3 linked regions of the Canis lupus familiaris genome follow. The protein of the gene in region 2 purifies or fractionates together with the protein of the main gene of each other region. This does not show direct contact. Links are inferred from orthologs where the notes say so. Each region holds a gene or a part of one and is shown on either strand. Other genes may lie near its edges.

What was found.
Region 1: the proteins of CTDSPL2 (region 2) and PDIK1L purify together in Homo sapiens (affinity purification with mass spectrometry; 4 studies listed by BioGRID and IntAct, counting the BioPlex papers as one, with this or other methods). This does not show direct contact. The link is inferred for Canis lupus familiaris from reciprocal best matches to the Homo sapiens genes CTDSPL2 and PDIK1L.
Region 3: the proteins of CTDSPL2 (region 2) and STK35 purify together in Homo sapiens (affinity purification with mass spectrometry; 3 studies listed by BioGRID and IntAct, counting the BioPlex papers as one, with this or other methods). This does not show direct contact. The link is inferred for Canis lupus familiaris from reciprocal best matches to the Homo sapiens genes CTDSPL2 and STK35.

Annotation. Positions count from the first base shown.
Region 1 is NC_049223.1:73,256,845-73,260,589, forward strand, and holds the start of PDIK1L (serine/threonine-protein kinase PDIK1L), read right to left. Parts: upstream 2,679-3,745; 5' UTR 2,432-2,678; intron 2,074-2,431; exon of another isoform or gene 1,935-2,073; intron 1,844-1,934; exon of another isoform or gene 1,650-1,843; intron 44-1,649; 5' UTR 27-43; coding exon 1-26.
Region 2 is NC_049251.1:11,394,087-11,397,831, forward strand, and holds the start of CTDSPL2 (CTD small phosphatase-like protein 2), read left to right. Parts: upstream 1-1,366; 5' UTR 1,367-1,574; exon of another isoform or gene 1,575-1,579; intron 1,580-1,589; exon of another isoform or gene 1,590-1,720; intron 1,721-3,745. UniProt on the Homo sapiens protein: Probable phosphatase.
Region 3 is NC_049245.1:19,408,137-19,411,881, forward strand, and holds the start of STK35 (serine/threonine-protein kinase 35), read right to left. Parts: upstream 2,566-3,745; 5' UTR 2,551-2,565; coding exon 2,245-2,550; intron 2,196-2,244; exon of another isoform or gene 1,651-2,195; coding exon 1,053-1,650; exon of another isoform or gene 876-1,052; intron 822-875; exon of another isoform or gene 629-821; intron 1-628.

The sequences.
Region 1 (3,745 bases), on a different chromosome or scaffold from region 2:
TCGTACTTTGGCTGGCTACTCACCATCTTCAAGGTCAAAGTTTCTGGAAAATCAACAAAGTGCTCTGTTGAAATTAAGTATACTTACTGGTTTGTATACCTTCTTATGTATGATTTAATTATCTGTCTCACTGTTTGCAATGCTTGAAAAAGATTTGTTATATCATGGGCAAATCTAAATATTTGAATAATAATAATAAAGCAGCTAACACTTTGGTATTACCATGTATCAGGAACTGTTCCAAGCACTTTTAATCCTCAAACAATATTATGAAATAGATGTTATTACAATCATTTTATAGTTGAGAAAACTAAATCACGAAGAATTTAAGCAACATGCCTAAGGTCAAACAGCTACTAACTGGTAGACCTGGGTTTTGAAACCTGGCCACTTGGCTCTGACATTCATAACCATAACCATTACACTATACCGCCTCTTGCACAAACTGCTTCAAAATATTACTGTTAAAAATAAACCAAAGAATTAATCATTCTTATGATGAGCACTCCACTGCTTCTCCTTAAAGCTGACACACACAAAAGTTCATAAACATGTCAAAACGAAAAAAACCCTCTCACAGAAATATAACTGGCTTGTGCTTAGGGACTGAAAGTGAACCAGGTTACATATAGAACTGAAAATATGTAGGTTTTTTTTTTAAAAGTAAACAAACTGTATATGTCCCTATTTTAATTTTGCTATTTCTCATTTCTTGCAAAATAAATGAAGTTTGTGGAGAAAAAATGGTCCTTTAAAAATAAAGCAAGCTACTTAGAATATTGTTACCTTTCTGTTGTTAAACACCTATTTAGATGTAGGCCATTTTTGCCACCAAAAACTGTCCTCTATATGATGGGGCTCTTGGACAGGGTGCTTTCAAATTCAACTTGATAAATCATTTAAAGGCTTAGAAGCAAAGGCCTGACACAGAAATGCTGGTGAGTTGAATCAAGAAATTCTGAAGTGTGCCACCTCATTCTCCAAAGAATGTTAAAATCCTCACGAGTTTCTGGAACAGATTCTCATTTGTAGATTGCCACGATGGGCAAGAGATTGTACAATCTTTACAGCGTGCAGTTTGGAGAGGAGGGGAAGAAGCTATTGGCTGTTGAGCTTGAAAAATTGGGTACAGCTACTTTAAGTTCATAGGATGGATTTAATAAAGAAAATGAAAGCTTCTGAGATTACTTCCTTGGTCCCACTTCCTCTAACTGGAACCCCCTTCAAATTCCTGCCGCAATTCCTAGCGCCCGATGCCCTGCCACGGACGCCTTGCCCCAGGTCCACCCACGGCGCTCTCCCCTGCTCCCCGTGGAGCGCCAATTACTCTGCAGCTCAAAGCGGCTCGTCTCCTGCAGGCTGTCCCATGGCCACGCGCGAAAGAGCACCCGAGTAAGGGGGAGGGGGCGTTCACGCAGCCCCTGGACGCGAGCCCCCGCGGCCGGCCGGCCGGCACTTCCCCGGCCTCCCGCGGGCCCCGCCGAGCCCGCGCACGGCCGCCGGCGGGCCAGGCCACACACCTGCCGGCCCGGGAAGGGCCAGTCCCGGGCAGAGGTGTTGCCCGACGCGGCGGCTCAGCGCCCCGCTCATTGGCCGAGTATCAGGCCCTCCCCCTCCCCGGCGGCGTCCAGAGGAAACCCGGAGGGGATCCTCCCGAGGCCCTTCACCCCGAGGAGCCAGTCCCGCGGCGGCCCCAACTCCTCGGGGCTGGCGGCTGAGGCCCGGGGCCTGGGGAGGAGCCCAGGGGCAGAAGAGGAGGCCGCAGCTGGCGCCGGTGGCCTGAGGGGTGCGGGCCGGAGGCCTGAGCAGCGCGGGGCCTTCCGTAGGATGACTCCGCTGACAGGTCTGTGACAGGCCTCCCGGGGAGGGAGGCGCATGCAGGGTCCTTGGCTCTGCAGCAGGGCCTCGGTGCCAGGCCTAAGGGCCAGATTTACCTCAGGGTAGCCGCCGCCGCTTCTCCCTCTCACGGGCGCTGCAGGCCGCCATTATCGGGCAGCTCGCGCCTCAGCCGCCGCGGCCTCCAGTCAGAGACCGGCGCGCGCCCCCGTGGTGCGCGCGGACACACCCCCTTACGCCGTGCGGCCCCGCCCCCCTCCGGCTTTCCGTAGCGCGAGCCGGGACGCCGAGCGCCGTCCCTATTGGGCGCGCGCCCCGCGCTCCGCCGGCCTCCTCCCTCTCCTGTGGCTCGCGGGAGCCGGGAGTCGCCGAAGGTGTGCGCGCCCCGGAACGCACCACTAGTGCCCCTCCCTGCAGGGGTGGCCGGGCCCGGAACGGGGAGGCCGCTGCCCGCCGGGGCTCGGTCACCGTCCAGCCGCAGCGAGCGCGCACGGCCCGCGGCCCCGGGGGACGGTCTGCGGCAGCGGGTCCGGGCCTGGGGGTGCGCGCGCCCGGCGCGCCTCCCCGCTGCCTCCCCGCCCCCCTTCCCACCTACCGAGCTGCGGGCAGGTGTGCGGGGGTCGCTGGGGCGGAACGCCTGGTGCATCTTCTTGGGTTCGGGCCTGGGGTTCCTGCGGGCCGCGGAGCTGTTCGGCTGGCCCGCGGGGAGGCGCGGCCCGAGCTGGGAGGCCTGGCGTCCGCCCCGCCGGGAGGGAGGCTGCACCTTTTGTCAGAGTCACTGAGCCATGTTTGCGGACGGTGTAGTTGCCCAGGCGGCGGCGGCGCGGGACTGGGTGCGATCATCCGGGAGGACGCCGTCCCCTGCCCCGCCGGCGCGGTGGTATCTCCCTTAAAGAAGCCGGCGCCTCATTGTTCCCGGGCCGCGGCCGCGGGGAGTCGGGGGCGCCCTGCCCGGCGCGGGGCGGGAGGGACGACGGCGCCCGCACCTGGCCCTGCCGGGCGGCGGCCCCCGCGGGGAGTCGGGATCCAGCCGGCGCGCGGCGACGGGCCGCGGTATGGGGCGGCCGGGGGCCGGGGTGGGCCGCGGAGACAGCGGTTCTCTCGCGGCCCGGCGGACAGCGGCCCCTCAGACCCCGGCACGCAGTCGCCTGACAGCCGGCCCGAGACTGTCGGTGGCTCAGAGACTCGGACCAGCCCAGTGTTCAGTCAGTCACGCGGCCCAGTACGCGTCCGCCTGAAGCGTCCGTCCCTTCCTCACTACTGAGTTCTGCACCTGCTGTTTGTCAGTAGAGTGGTGGTTCCTCTCCGGTGCGGTGCGGCGTTAGGCTCCACGTGCGGAGATTCCCTGTCGGTGCTCTCAAGATCAGCCACTTACCCCTTTTATTTGCTGTCCTCTATTTATGGACCTTGTCCAGAGAGTCTGGGACTGGGTTAGGTCTTTCAATTAGCTTTTCTAATCCTGACCAAATCCCACAGGGTAGGCTTCATTACTAACCCTGTTTTACAGGTGAAGGACACAGATGCTGCCTTATTTGACCAAAAGTTGTGTAGTTTGGGGCGTGTGTGTGTGTGTGTGTGTGTGTGTGTTCCGGTGTACCTGCCTTGAATACCCACTCTCCCGGTGTAATTACCCCGCTAAAAAACCCAACAACACCCAGCTCTGTCATCTATTAAGACTTTTGTCCTGAGTATCATAGATCAGTCTCCATCAGCTGTCTGCTGGGGTATTGATGCCAGCCAAGGCTTAGTTTCTGCCCTTCAAAGTAGAGGGAAACTATGGAAGGCCTTAATGCTTGTGTGGGTAATTGATCAGAATCAGGAGAGTGGTATCTCCTTTGGTTAGAAGAGCTTTTTTTTTTTTTTTTTTTTTTTTTTTTTTTTTCCTTTTGTCTGTCTCGGTCATTAACTA
Region 2 (3,745 bases):
CACACTTTGAAACCACCAGATTCACAAGATTCTCTGCTTACCTGCGTCTCATCTCTCTCCACTATCTTCCCCTCAACTCCTGTATCCCTGGTGCACAGAACTACTTCCCTAATTGCTCAGTGCAATTTCATTTTTGGATTTTTCCATCTGTCGTTTCCTTTACCTAGACACTTCCCTTCTAACATCGATTCTTCACGCCATCATCTCATGAAAGCCATCTCAAACCCTCACTCAGTTGTACGCCTGTCAAGAACTCCTTGTGGTCATTTTAGCTGTATTTAAATTGTTTACTTGTTTGTCTTCAATAGACCATGAACTCTGGGAAGGCAGGGTCCACGTCTGCCTTGTATCCCTCGCATCTAGTATGGTCCTCACACCCTGTGTTTTTTTCAGTAAATGTTTCTTGATTGAATAACGTGAATGGCCCAAGAGTTTTAGCAAAGAGATGATGCTCTTCCAACCACTACACTCGGTTTTCTGATATTCCACTAGGGCTGGGCGCTTGGATTGACACATTTCCACCCCGTGAGGCTGACGGTCGGTCCTTAGATAGACTCAGTAATGCAGGTAGGACCCCAGTTGTCTGAACGATCTGGCTTCTCGGAAGGACCACCGCCGACATCGCGTGGAGTCGAACGGCGTGGGTGTGCATGGCAGATCCACAAGCGACTGCTATGCTCTCTAGGCAGAGCGCTGGAAAGAGGACCTTCAACGGCCACCCGGATCCCTGGAAAGAAGGAAGGATTCGTCTCACCACGGCCTCCGGCAGCGCTCCCTGCACACGACCTCCTCCAGCGCGCCAAGGCGTTAGTCCCACCCTGTCCCGCTTGGCCCCACCCACCTGGCGCGCCCGGGTTGCTAAACCCCAGCGGCCAGGGCGAGCGCCGCGTTCCTAAGCCCCGCCTCCCGGGCGAGGGCGCGCTCCCCCTCCCAGCCCTGCCTAAGCAGTTCCGTTAGCAGCGGGAGGAAAAACCGTCCTTCGGATCCCCGCCTCTTCACTCCCAACGCTTTACTCCCTACTCCTCCTGCAATCACTACACAGCCAGCTACGGAGGCCCCTAAAGTACAAATATCCCCCGGGCCCTGGTGTAGCCTCATAGGTTTTGTCCTTGTTCCTCCATTCGGTCCTAAGGGTCTGCGTTCAATTTTTGTCAAGAATCGGGTTTGTGAGTTTCTTCTGGCGGCAGGAACTCCAAGGCCCTTTACGGAACTAAAAGTTGTTTTTTTGTTTGTTTGTTTGTTTTTGTTTTTGTGCGGGCTTTTTGTTTTTTGTTTTCTGTTTTGGTTTGGTTTGGGTTTTTTTTTTTTTTTTTGCCGCTGAAGCCTCCCGCATTCCTTCCCTCCCACCTCGCGGAATTGTGGCGGGAGGGGGAGGAGGAAGCCAAGGCGCCTGCGCGGAGAGGCCGCTTTCCATCCGGGTCTCTGTCCGTGCGGTGCAGCAGGTCGGTAGGCGGGAAATGGCGACTGGCTGAAGGAGCTGGTTCTGTTGCTGCTGCGGGCTAAGCGGGAAAGACACCACACATTGCGCAGTCGGGACCATCGCCGGAGCCTGAGGATACTTCTCTGTCGTCACAGTTAGGTAATCCCCCTCGTCCAGACACTGCCGCTGCTTCCAACCTTAGTCCTCCTCTTCCAGGGCCGTCTGCCGGGGTCTCCTCCCCTTCCCAACCGGGTTCTCCAGCGGCTCGGCGCCTTGGTAGGCATGCACCATTGGCGCCCTGTAAGTGCGCGGTGTGGAGCCGCTCTTCTCTGGACTTTCCCCTGGGAACAGAAAGGGAGCTCACTTCCCGCCAGCTTCAGCTCCCGGGCTGCGGCCTGTGTTGTGATTTCTGGGGTTAGATTTCACTTTGCTACCCACCCCCACCCCGATCTCACGTTCCTAGTCCCAAACCCTGTGGTCCCTCTGGGTAGTTGGGTTAGATCAGCTTTTCTAACCTTGGCCCACCTGATGTTTTCGATATTTCATTCTTTCTAGTAGGGTGCTTTTAGGGGGGCGTTGCTCTATCTCAGTTTTTATAAACATCTTTCGAGGATCTGGAATTAGATATTTCATCAAGTTCTGTTTATCTTCTGTACTGTTGAAATGTTGACTTGACATTGTTACTTTTTCGAATCAGGAGTGGTAGTAAAGGACAGCCCATGTGGAAGGCCTGTGGTTTCTGTAGTGGTCAATTAAGGGTGAATCTTATCGGCCGTAGTAGTCGCCGCTTTCCTTGGGTATTAAATGACTATGTGCATGTTTACTTTTTCATTCTTGACTAGAATTCTGTGGTAAATAATTGCATAAGTAAATCGTGTTTATTTACTTCTCACCCTAGTGGTGGCTGGATGTGTGAATGATGTTAAGCACTTTAGAGTACCTTAGGGAAGCCTAAAGAGATACTGCTCGTAAACTGCCCTAAGATCTTGAAATGAAATGTACTTAGTAAATGTTCCTCCTAGGCAAGGATTTATCTTTCTAGCGCTAATAAAGCGGTACCATGATTACTGCCCAATATGGATATACAAATTAGTACTTAAAAGATAGATTTATCTTAGTAATTTTCAGATTGTAGATTTCTTTACATACAGTTTCCCCATTCTTTGCCAAGTTTTAAATTCTTCGTTTGTTGTCCACCTGTAATCCTTACAAAAGCAAGGAACCGGTAGTTAAGGCTAGTTTCATTCCGCCCCCCCCCCCCACCTTTTTTCTTATATTGCAAACCATTTGTCCATAGAGAAAAGTAGAGTCAGTTGGTGTTTTTCAGAATTTGTTTTTCAATATTGTTGAATTTGAGGCCTTCGTATTTTTCCCCCTTAACTAGCTAAATTTTTTAAATGTGGCTTATGTTACATATCAGTCAATGTTTATAGCTCAAAGGTTTTTTTCGCTTTTCTAGGTTTAGTTTAGATGACTTTACTAATGTTAGCATATTAGGATTAAATTTCAGTGATAAACAACATCATTATAATTGTCTTTTGGTAGATTCCCCCCAAGGTCATAAAGAAAGTCAAGGCAAAAGTAGCTCTTAGGTGAAGCAGTCTTTTAGGATTGAATTGAACCTCATACTTGTCTTCCAGGAGCAAAAGAAGAGTGGGTGGGAAGTGGAGATGAGGGCATATTGGATACTTGCTGAGCCTATTTGTTTAAAGAATAGGGCCAAATATGTGACTAAAAGAATGTAGAATAAATTATTTGATTTGCGAAGGTTTTAATCTCTACTTTAATGACCTTTTTGGGTAGTTTATAAAGCATTAATTTTTTTTAAACATTAATGTTTTTAATAAAATTTGGTTTACAGATAGCTGAGTAAGGATTGTGTGTAGATTTTGTCTTAAAAAACTCTCCCAAATTGTTTTAATTCTACGTTCATACAGTACCTGTGCTCTTTTCATATTCTTCTCAGTAGGAGTTGAAAGAAAGTAAAAGCTCTAGTGGTATAGACCTTAATAATCTCTGTGGACTTGTAGGTGTATAGAAATTCCAAATAGGATTGTATGGAAAAACTGAATAGGATTGGTATGTTTTATAATATTCAATATAATGTCTCAGGCATTTCATTTGAGCTAGTAATGTTATTCTTTTTCCACTGTTAAGAAATTAAGAATTGGAGAAGTTTGCTCTTCCCCAAATTTATCTAACTATTCTTATGTTTGAGATTCTGTCTAGAGGTTTCTTCATAAGATTATTATAATACAAAATCCATACTCTTCTGTTTTTTTTTCTTTTTTTAAAGATTTTATTTATTTATTCATGACAGACACA
Region 3 (3,745 bases), on a different chromosome or scaffold from region 2:
ATAGAAAGAGGAGAGGATTTACTTTTAAAGTTATTACCTAAAGTCACTCTGTAAGACATCTAGGACATAGCTGGGTCTCAGATTAGTAACCTTTCTGTTGAGGAAGTCTTCTAAGACCTTTCTAGCTCACTGGCCTTCTCCTCTCTTTAGAGAACCTTTGGCTACTTACAAGTCTGAACAAAACAGGTCAACACTGAGCACTCAAGATGAACTCTTGCCCTAAACGCAGCGAAAACTCAGAAATTAGGATTAGCCCTCCCATGACTGCAAAGCTACCTTGCTTCCCTGAGCCCCATCTTCCCTATAAACATGCTAGCCAGGCAGCCTGGGATGGGGGGGGGGGGGGGGGGGGGGGGGTGTTAGAAAAAGATTAAGTATGTAAGGCAGAGGAAAAGAAAAAGATGAAAAAGATGTTACATGTTATGTGACAGCTATAGGCCCACCTGGGGGATTATTATTCAGCAGGACCCAGAGGATTTAGCCAGGAAACCCGCCAGTTTGGTTGACTGCCTTGGGATGGAATGGGCCGTTGGGGGTGGGGGTGTGTGTCTCAGAGGAAAACAGAAGAGTAGGAAGCAAGAGTTTGGAGGTGGAGCTGAAGGGTGTCAGGACATTTGGGACCAGACACGGAGGGGGTGTGGGTGGGTTCGGTAAAGTTCTTTTTTGTTTGCTTTGGGAGGGAAAGAGAAGAGGCCCTAGAGAGGGGGGCTCTGAAGTTCTTCCCACCAACTCAGCCCCGTCCTCTTCACTCCCCCTGTGGAATCTCAAAGTGCTGCAAGTTTAATAGGTTTAAGTTTACTGAGCGCTTAACTAAAAGCACGGTGAGCACTTCCATGAGCTTTTTTTTTTGTTTTTTGTTTTTTTTTTAACGAGAATAGCACCTCCAGTCAGTGCCAGGGGCTCATCCGGGGTGCTGAGGTGCAAGGGGAGCCTAAGCGCCTGGGCCCCGGGGAGGAGGGCGTGTCTGGGCCCAGGCTGACAAGACCCGGGCCGGCCCCGGCATCCAGAGCGGCGGGTCCAGGCCCCGTGAGGGCGGGCCGGCCGCCTCCTACCTTTGAGCGAGGTCTCCACCAGGCGCAGGTAAAGCTGCGAGCTCTTGTTGCCGTGGCTCATGCGCTGGGCGAGCCCGTTGCGCTGCAGGACGCACTCCTCAAACTGCACGACGTTCTGGTGGCGCCGCTTGAGGCTGGTCAGGGCCCAGAACTCGGCCAGCGCCAGCTCCACGTTCTCGGGGGCGTCGCAGCGGATCTTCTTGACCGCCACCCGGGCCCCGCTGCGCCCGGCCACTGCCTCGTAAACCACGCCGTAGCTGCCGCGCCCGATCTCCGCCAACAGGCTGTACCGCGGCCGCGCCGACCCGCCGCCGCTCTCTGGCCGCCGCCGCGCCAGGTAGGCCTCGCCCGGGGCCTCGGCCGCCGCCGGATCCATGGCCTGGGCCGCCGCCGGCCTCAGCTTCGCGCTGGGCGCCCGCGGCACTGGGCTTCGCCTTTTCCGCTCGGGGCTTTGTGTACCTCTGCGGGCGCCGTCCTCCTCCCCCGTTTCCATGGCTGCGGGCGGCGGGGGGAGCAGCAACGGCGCTGCCCGGGTCCCCCCTGCCTCATCCCTCCGTCCGGCCACTGGACGCGGAGGAGCGGGACCTTGGATTGTGACCTGCGGGCGAAAGAGTCGGTTAACCAACTAGGCCGAAGCGGGAAGGCAAGGAGCGTAGGCCGCAGGGCGTCCCACCTCCGCCTCCTCCGGCCGCCGCGGCCCCTTTAAGACGGAAGCCGCCGCCGCTGACTGAACGGGGGGAAGGGAGGGGAAAGCGGGAAGGGCGACACCACTAGGCTGTGGCTCAGAGGGGGAACAGGAAAGAATAGCAACCCCCGCCCCGCCTTCTCAGCCAGTTTGTCGCCTGAGACTAGGAAAAACTAGGACCAGCAGTTTTTACGACTTAAGAAAATTGCCTTAAGAGCCGTTCTGACTGCGGAACTCTTTTTCCCCGCCTCGTCCCCTCCGGGATCACCCTCCCCGCATCCCGCCTTGGGTTCTCCCGGGTGTAAACAGTCCATTGAATTAAGCCGGAGCGGAGCCCGGCGGAACGACCCAAGTCCCCGAGGGCGGCGGGTGGAGGAGGTTGGCTCAGAAGTTCCGCGTCCCTGAACCCGCCAACCTGGGGACCCAGCGGCCCTCCCCCAGCGCCCGCGGGGACGGAGGTGGGTGCAGCCTCGGCGCTGGCTCGGACTCCGCAGACTGCGCCCTTACCTGGCCGGCGCCCCTCCACTTCCGGGCGGCCCGCTTCCCCCCTGGCGCCCTGGGCCGGGGATGGTCCGCTCCAGGCCAGGGCTGCCTCGCGTACGGAGCGGCGCGGGAGGCGGCGGCCCGGGCCGGGTGTGCCTGGGAGCCCGCGGCGGCGCGGGTGGCGGCGGCGGCGCCCGCGGGGGAGAAGCGGGTGTCCGGGCTCCCGCGGCTCTCCACGTGCTCGCGCCGGCTGAGCCCTTTACATAACCTGTTTATATAAGCTGCGCCTCCCGCCCGCACTCGGGCCAGCGGGGGCTCCTGGTGGCCCATCCCCCGGGAGGCCGGCCGCGCGCCGCGCCGCCTGGGTCCTGCCAAGGTCGACGGAGCAGCCGCAGCCGGGCGCACCGGGCACGCCGCGCCGGGGCCCAATCACAGGCGAGAACACCCAGCCCACGAAAAATAGGCGCCAAACTCCCGGGACCCGCTGCGCCCCCCTCCGAGGCTCTGCGGCCGCCTGCCCCCTGCAGCCTCCTCCCTCTCCGCCTTCGCTGCTTGAAGAGGGGCTGCGCGCAGTAGGCTCCTAATAAATACTCATTGTTGATTGGCTTGGCGGTTTGATTGATTCATAGGCAGTGCCTGGGAACCTCCCGGACTGGATTGGAGTCCACACGCTGCCGCCCAGGAGCCCGTTGATTCGGGGCAAATCATCGTCAGGTTCTGTGCCTCGGTTTTCTGTTCTGCAAAATGGGTGATTGGACCTTAACCTCCCAGCGCTGACAGAGCCAAATGAAATACATGTAATTTGTGTGTAAATACATATATTAAGAGTGACTAAGTATATATGAGTACACATAGTAAGTGGCTAATTGGGTGCGAGGCTGAAAGTGCTGTTTTGTTCACTGCTTTGTACTCCAGTGGCCTAGTAGGTGCCTGTGATTTTTAAACTGAATCTGTTGAGTATTTATTGGCTTTCTATAATGTGCTAGGCACTGTTCTAAGTCGCTGGGGAAAGAGCAATGAACCAGACAATCTTTACCTTCAATGAGGGTCTATACCCCTGAAGGAGACCAGTGATATGGTGACCTTGTGCAAGTTAATTAACTTTCATGTGTCTTTACTTTCCATCTGTAAGATGGTGAAGAACAGTGTTGGAGGCCCTGTGCTTATACAGTTAAAACACTGAGAACAGGACAAGGTCTTGCACACACTAAGTGTTAGATACTATTAACTAAGCACATAGAATAATTTTTGACATGGATAAGTATGATGGAGAAAAAGAATGAAAAAGTGCTTTGGGTTTGGGACAGGTCACTTCTGATAGTATGAAGGTCATTCATTGAAAGGTGGTAACTTTGGGGGGGGGTAAAATTTAAAATTTACATGTAAGTTACAAGGATAGTAAGGAATTCTCATGTACTTTTTTTTTTTTTATATAGAACCTTAATGAATTTGTGTGTCATCCTTGCGCAGGGGCCATGCTAATTTCTGTGTATTTGAATTTTTAGTGTATGTGCTGCTGAAGTGA